Nothobranchius furzeri: one gene and its partner. The protein of the gene in region 1 purifies or fractionates together with the protein of each later gene. This does not show direct contact. Links are inferred from orthologs where the notes say so. Each region holds a gene or a part of one and is shown in the gene's direction. Other genes may lie near its edges.

Region 1 (4,331 bases):
GGGGAACACATTTATGACGTCTTTTTAAACTAAAATTTCTAGCGCGACCTGCCTGCTTCACTAAGTCACTGCTTATTAAGGTTCGTCCAAAATTACCGTGGCCCACCCAAAAATGAAAACCTGACGCCACGCCTGTTATAAACCTCTGCAAATTGTTGTTCTTCACTTTATCAAACTCAGACTTTGTACAGCTAATGTCAAGATGTAAAATTATGAATTCAGTCGAGCTCTTCCGTCCCTCCCCTGCTCTCCTGGAAACCTGACATCGGCTGTTAGAAGCGGGAGGTGAAGAAGGAGATGAGGCAAACAGAGTGAGTGTGCGACGTAAAGAAACCAGATTGGCGTGGAGGTGAGCAAAACAGCTGGAAAAGTGTGGGTGTTGAATCCCCCACGGGTGCGATGCCCCCGGCTGCTGTCACCTGTTGTGAGCAGCGCTCTGCTGTCTGAGGGTAGGCCCCGCCCACAACGCTGTGGCTGCTGCGGTGTTTTCTTTACCGTGGGAAATGGGTAATAATGGCTCTTTGATGGGAACAGGTTGCCGACCCCTGGTATAAGATCTGAGCTGGTAAAACAAAAATCCTCATCAGCAGGCTTTTTTGAAAGTGGGGGAGGGGGGGGGGGGGGGGGGGACAGCTGCCAATCACAAATTTTGCCGGGGACATGTCCCTGGCGTCCCCGGTTAAAATGACGCCTATGGAAACGAGGAAAACATGCTAGATACTGGCTCTCAAGGACCAGGAGTGAGTACTTTAACAGCTGAAATGTCTCCCCAGCTGTCCTAGTGTCTACAAAATTAATCATGAAACTAAACAATTCAGCGGTGCTCATGATCTAAAACATGTAGGAAACTTGCTGGAACCAGACTGCAGCACCATGTATGTTAGCTCAATTTTTACAGCCTTCTGTTGGGACTTCGTAAAAATTGCAACTTCAAACTGGCAGGCTTGCCAGTTTGAAGTTGCAAGTGGAATATTCTGGCCACAGTGGGTGATGGGGGCTGGGTGGCCTTTAAGAAAACATGTAAAGGGTCGTTTTAGCACATACTGGCTCAATAATTGATGATTTAAAAATATGAGAAAGTTGCAAATCTCTTTAAATAAGTTCAAGGAGGAATCTTAATTAATCAAATTCATTTGATCCTACTCTAATCTCAGTTTTACTTTAAGTATGTATCTTATTGATATTTCACAATTAATTTATAGGCAAATATCAAAGAAATAAGAACGAAATAATTTGATTATATATTACAACAACCTGCCACACTTGTCACTGGTGATACGTCAGTGAGCACTCCGCCTCTGAGGAGCTGTGATTGGCTCGTGCTTGCTGCTCCTATGTCAGCTAACCGACGAAAACAAATCCCTTCAGCGGTGCTTCAGCCAGGACAGTTAGCTATTTTCTGAGGCACCGAGCTGGTGACAAGTCGGCGCTGTTGTATCAAAGCACGCCTGAATGTGTAGAGATAGCAGTGGCCGTTTTGCATCGACTTGAGCCCTTAATGCAACCCACCCTGTTTGCCAGCCACAATGTCCGACGCTGCTAACGTTACTTCCACAGAAAGCAACGGAGACTCGGGGCTTAACGGTAAGCTAAATGCTACTGAGCTTAGAGCTTCAGAACACACTGACGCTTTGTGCATGTGTGCGTGCCTCTTTTCTTCTGAAGCGTCTTGATGAATTTTACTCGTATCCGAAAGGCGTCTGCTGTTATAATTTCAACAATAAGAGTTGTTTATTCGGCAAGTATGTATTTTTCTCCGCGAGTTCGGTTCTTACTGAAGGGGGAGGAACTAGAACGTTGTGTTCCGTGTGTTTATTGACAGTAGCTGAACCAATAATCTTTCAGGAAGCTTGAATGACGGGCAACGGAGCCAATCAGCGATCAATACAGAGGCTGTGGGTGTGCTTTAGACTTGTCAACAAGGCTCGATGGAAGATGTCCAATTTGATTAAATCGGCGCATAATAATTTTGATAATTTACGAAAATGTTTGTATTACAGTCATTCTAATCCACAAAACGCTCTAAAACGTGTAAACATATTAAAGCTGTTATATTTGGCATGCTATTTATGGACACAACGACAAGGGGACAGAAGTTTTGGACATGAGTAATATGGGGGAAGTATCACATTTCTCAGCTGTTCCAGAGTACATGAAAGTTTATTTCTCCATGTCAAATCTGATGACAGGAAATATTGATGTTTATACTGGATTAAAAAAAACTTTAAAATGTCTAATAACCAAATTATTGGCCATGGATGCCCATTATGCTCAGTCTGTGCCTACATCTTCTCTTACATAATACAAAGCAACAAGTGTTATGTATTTCCATATGGTTTTAGACAAGACCTGTCTGTAGATCTTTTCTGGCTTAAAGGGACTGTAAGGAAGTTTGACAGTCAAAGCATGTATAGAAATAATAAATTTCTTCTTTATACATTCTCCTGCAATGCCCTGGTCCTGTCGAATGAGCCCTGGCATTTTTACTTTGATTGCCTGTTTTTCTGTAAAATCACAGAAAAAGAGAGATGCTCGGGTCGAGCAGGCTGCTTCATACGCGTTCACACTCAGGTATAGCCCGTAGCATTTGCTATCCGTAGCTTTAGCAGCAGAGAGAGAGGCAGTGCCAACTCAGCGACTTTGTCGCTGTTCCTAACGCCTAGTGACAATCCTAGCTACATTTCAGAGGACCCTTAGCTACTTTTTGTAGAACTTTCTTCTAGATATTTCCTGCAAATTAGCAACAAAATAGCCATTTTCGCTCCGAACTGTTCTTTGGATTGACGTTGTTTCAGCTGTCATCAACGATATAAACGTTATAGATAAATTCAATGTCACTGGTGCTTTAGCTCACCTAGTAAGATGTCTGACTCTCATGCGAAAAGCCTGGGTATGATTCCAGGTGTGAGCATAACTTGTGATTAGGAGTTTCTTTTTTACATTAATGATATATTTTTTTACAGTAATAAGACGCCCACATTTTTATTTGAGACTCGCCGAAAGGCATTGAATTCACGGCAATGACTTAATCACTTATATCGATACACTGAAAATCACCATATTTGATGTACCGGATCAATATTTGAATGCAGTGCATTGATTTATTATTATAATTTTTTGGGAGAATTTACAAGCAAACACTGTGCACTGTCCCAAATAAATAAATAAACAAATAAAATATGCTCTAATAATTTTATGTGGTGCAATTTAAACTCCGGCGACTAGGTGGCAGTAGTCTTTACCAGCTTATTTTGATGGAACAATGAAATCTTGTGATAACTCTGGATGTGTCTTGGAAGAGTCTTGCCTGGGTTTTCCAGTTAAACTCAGTTTTAAAAATTACAAATACTGTCTTTTAATGACGCAATGCCATCTACACCTTGAGTCACCAACTCCGGTCCTTGAGGGCTAACATCCTGCACACGTTAGCTGTTTCTACACACCTGATTCTTGTTCTTTGGGTAAGGCAGACTGGACGCCTCGCGGCGTATTGCTGCCACAGCAACACTATGCCTACAGCCAAACCTGGCTACACTCTGTCATAGACACCAACAGCTTCAACAAGGAGGGCTGCCACCGGGGACGACCAAAACGCCCCAGTACACACCCCCATAGCCGCTGCCTGCAACACATCCAGCTGCTTCAGGGTGGAAGGCGCAGCCAAACCATACAGGAAACCCCCATAATCTAAGGCCGACCTGATCATACCCTCATAAACCAACATCAAAGTGGCTCTGTCTGCCCCCCAGTCCGACCCGGCCTGACCCCGGGTTTCCACAGGAGCTGTCAGCAGTACGTTACTGCAGCAGCATGTCTTGCTCGCGTAAGCTGCTGCTTGGCCCTTCCCACGAGATGCGAAGCAGCAGGGGAGCAGCTGTCACCGACCGAGCACGAAGTCAGAGTGACTTCGTCAGTAAACACAACAACAAGCAGGAGAAAACTACAACATGGCCCCAAAATGTTTGTGTTTTATGTTCTGTCCGTTTTATAATCGCAAATACGGACCTGAAAAACAAAGGAGACCGCTAGCTAGGTGATAACTTCTCACGGGGCCGCACAGTTGGTAACCTTTTTTAAAGTAAAGCAACCGGAAGGCAGTACGTTCTTTATTCTGAAAATCTCGGGAGCTCCTCTCCATTTTGGCGTCTGATTTCCTGTCTTTCCTTCCCCAAAAATGTCGAACTTGACCCATTTCAGAGGCGTCGCGCGTAGAAAATAGAACCGGCGCGTAAAGGCCGCGACATGCTGCTCCTGAGACGCGGCCGACTCGCGCTGCTGACGGCTCCAGTGTAAAGCCGGGGTGACACCTCATTACACCTCTGATGGAAATG
Region 2 (3,414 bases), on another chromosome or scaffold:
TCCTTGGTCTGTTTACAGCAAACAGCCGTCCTGAGCATCCTGACGTTTTGTACGGAGATGAGACACCTCAACCTGGGCAGCTGTTTGAGGGTGAGCATGAACGACGGGTGGGATGAGTGTATCGTACGCACTCTGTAAGTAAATCATGGAGCTTATAGGACTGAAACCCAGGGTTCTGTTGTTTTTGTACGAAACCACAACACAGAGAAAATGTGTGAAGTCCAAACAGAGCTCAGGTTGTTTTTCACCAGGGTTTTTATTCTAACATGCTATTGAAGACATTCTCTGCTAAAATTAATTAAATAACCAATTGTACCACATTGTCATAGTTTTCCCTCTTGACCAGATCTTTGAGCCAGTTTATTGCTGTGGGAGACAGCGTTGCAGAACTGGAGTCACTTTTTGCTGCCAGGGCTGATTATTTTAGTGATTTTTTAAATGCAGTTTAGTCAGAAAGTGTCATGATTAAGTCTGATTTATTGTTACCTTTGCAGCCAGCTCCTCCCAAAGTTGGTTTGACGTTTTTCACCTTCTGACACCTGTGATGACTCGTTTAAGAGAAAACTGACCTTTTGAGCATCAGAGTGAGGCCTGAAGACTCACACAAACATATCAAGAACTCAAACTTGTTTTGTTTATCGTTTGTGACCACTGAGGCTAGTGCGCCTAGAACCAGAAGGGATCTTAAATGCACAACAGGTTGGAATGGAGAAGGGCTCTTTAAGTCTGATTTAAGACCAGTGCCAACATCTGACTAACCATAACCACCTGCACATGGGCTAGAACGTTTAAGAAGATCTCTGTCTGAACTCCACATCCACTCCATTCTACTCACAGTGTTGTTTTCTCAGTCCTAATGTTTGAGATGCCCACATGTAGCAGAAATATTCTCAAATCAGAGCTTATAAATCACTGCAACACTGGAGGAAGTTTCTGTAGGCATCTGCCATGAATCCTCCTATTGACAGAGGAAATGCTTCCTTCTTCCACTGTAGATCGACGACTACGATGTTGTGTCCAGCATGATAGCCGCTCGCTGTCGCTCAATGCGCTCCCTGGACCTGTGGCGGTGCAGAAACCTAACAGATAGAGGCCTGACCGAGCTCGTTTCTGGCTGCAGGTAGGCCTCCTACTGCGTCAGCAGCTCTGGTGAATGATGTCAGTGATTCCTGTGGTCCTCTTTTGTTTGGTCTCACAGGTGAATCTGTGTTTAAGGAGCAGGGAAGTAGAACGTAGCTGTGATCCTCATTCGTATGAAAGAGTTTAATAATGTGTTTACAGTAACTCAGCGCTGCTGGTCGTCTGATTTGGTCATTTAAGTTCTCGTGGTTCCTTCTGCTCAGGATGTTGGAAGAGCTGGATCTGGGCTGGTGTCCCACCCTGCAGAGCAGCACCGGCTGTTTCCAGCAGCTCGCCCGCTGCCTGCCTCGACTGCGTAAGCTCATCCTCACCGCCAACCGCACCGTCTCTGACTCGGACATTGAGGAGCTGGCTTCCTGCTGCCCTTCGCTGCAGCATCTCGACATACTCGGTATGCTCTTGTCACGCGTGTTTCTGTTTCTGGATGAGGGCCACGGTCACGTTACTTATCTTTATTTTCTGTCTGTAAAATATGCAGATTCTTGGTTTTAAACCTCCAGTACAGATAATTTAATTACCTAAAGAGATAAGGCTCCATCAAAGAGGAATGATTCAACATGCACAGCATTAGGCCCCCATTGTTTAATAGACTGTTTTGCTCTAAATGCCCAAACATAAATAGAAAAAGTCCTGCGGCCTCATTTATCAAGCTTGCTAACGCACGAAACGAGGTTGAAAAACTGCATAAGCAACTTTACACGCAAACTTTGGGATTTATGAAAGAAAACTTAGCGGAAAAATGTGCGCAACTTTAAGTTGACTAAGGACCTGGCTTAGGCACATGTTGGACATGAAGAGCACCTGCAGTGCTGCTGCTGAGAAGGATAAAAGTATGAAATCCTGCAGCATTATCACTTGTACCGCTTCGTTTTCACACAGAACAAGACCCCCCACACGCACACACTTGTGCGTGCACACACACATGCACGCACACTCACACACACGCGCGCGCGTGCACACACACACACAGCCTGAAGCGCAGAATACGGAATGCAGAATATCAGCAGGGGACAGATTGAGACAGAACATCATGCGTCTGTGGCAGTGTGTGTGTCCTGTCACTGTGACCCGATTGATCAGGCGCCCTGGCTAGTTGAACAGGGGAGATCTCCGTTTGGCAGACTGGTTAGCACGTGTGACTTCCACCCGGGAGTCTGGGGATCGGATCCAGATGGGACCATTTTTTTTACATCCGCCACAGATCTCTCTGAAGAACTCAGCATTGACGGCTTCAGCAACGCTGTGACACTCCGTGGATTTTCTCTTATTTGTTTTGCAAAAGCACTTCCTTTCATTTCTCCACCTCACCCACAAGTACCTGAATTTCTGCTTCTATGAAATTGCGCTTCCTTGATCTGCGGTCGCCATCATCATTGGCGGAGCACTACAACAGCCGGCTTATGTATATGCATGAGATCCACAAGGCACTTTGCATTGACTGTTTATGGCAGTAAGTGGGTGTGGTGAGGGCAGATGTGACTAAAATACAGCTGAGAACCTTTCGAGATAGTTTCTGATTTATAAAGCAGAGATTGCGTGCAGCCGTGCGTACTCCATGTTTGATAGATCACAAACCTACTTGGCGTAAATACATTTTTTTTGCTGGGCTTAAGTACGGTTTTAGTAAGGATTCTACGCAATGTTTGATAAATGAGGCCCCAGAAGAATTAAGCAGCTGCTGAATAAATGATTTTATCATCAGACTAAAGGTTTTGACATCTTGCTTCAGTGATGCAAACTTTCATTTCTCTTTACTGTTTTGTAAACATACAATTCAGGCAAAGTGTCTTTCCTGTTGTCTTCTTAGCTTTGGTGTGGTTTTACTAACAAACAGGTACACGCTTGGTGAGTGCTGCCTCGCTCAAGAAGCTCCTCCAGTCGTGTCCTCGCCTCGTCCTCCTGGACGTCTCCTTCTGCTCACAGATAGACACTCGGGTCGTCCAAGAACTCTCCAGCCTCTTCCCCAAAGTGGCCATCAAGAAAAGCTTCACTCAGTGACCCCGCCACTGTCTCAGCTCTCGCTGCCGAGGAGCATCGAGCTGCAGGGACAGGCTCACCAGCAGGAGCTGGTCCGCTGCTGCAGATTGTCTCGTATCACAGACAGCTGAGTGAAGAAAGCCCCGGTACCTTTGAGGGGGGTTTGAGGTGGTCTTAGTGGCTGAGCAGAATCAGCTCAAGACTTATCAGTGGACAGCACAAGACACTCATCTGCCTAGTCTGTGGCCACACACCATCAGGGAGGCTGCAGGAAAGCTGCTGCACACTTTTTTGACG

What was found.
Region 2: the proteins of bnip3lb (region 1) and fbxl4 purify together in Homo sapiens (affinity purification with western blotting; 4 studies listed by BioGRID, with this or other methods). This does not show direct contact. The link is inferred for Nothobranchius furzeri from reciprocal best matches to the Homo sapiens genes BNIP3L and FBXL4.

The regions. Positions count from the first base shown.
Region 1 is NC_091746.1:40,528,099-40,532,429, forward strand, and holds the start of bnip3lb (BCL2 interacting protein 3 like b), read left to right. Parts: upstream 1-1,320; 5' UTR 1,321-1,526; coding exon 1,527-1,584; intron 1,585-4,331.
Region 2 is NC_091745.1:52,301,587-52,305,000, reverse strand, and holds part of fbxl4 (F-box/LRR-repeat protein 4), read left to right. Parts: intron 1-18; coding exon 19-90; intron 91-995; coding exon 996-1,120; intron 1,121-1,343; coding exon 1,344-1,531; intron 1,532-2,974; coding exon 2,975-3,138; 3' UTR 3,139-3,414. UniProt on the Homo sapiens protein: Substrate-recognition component of the mitochondria-localized SCF-FBXL4 ubiquitin E3 ligase complex that plays a role in the restriction of mitophagy by controlling the degradation of BNIP3 and NIX mitophagy receptors.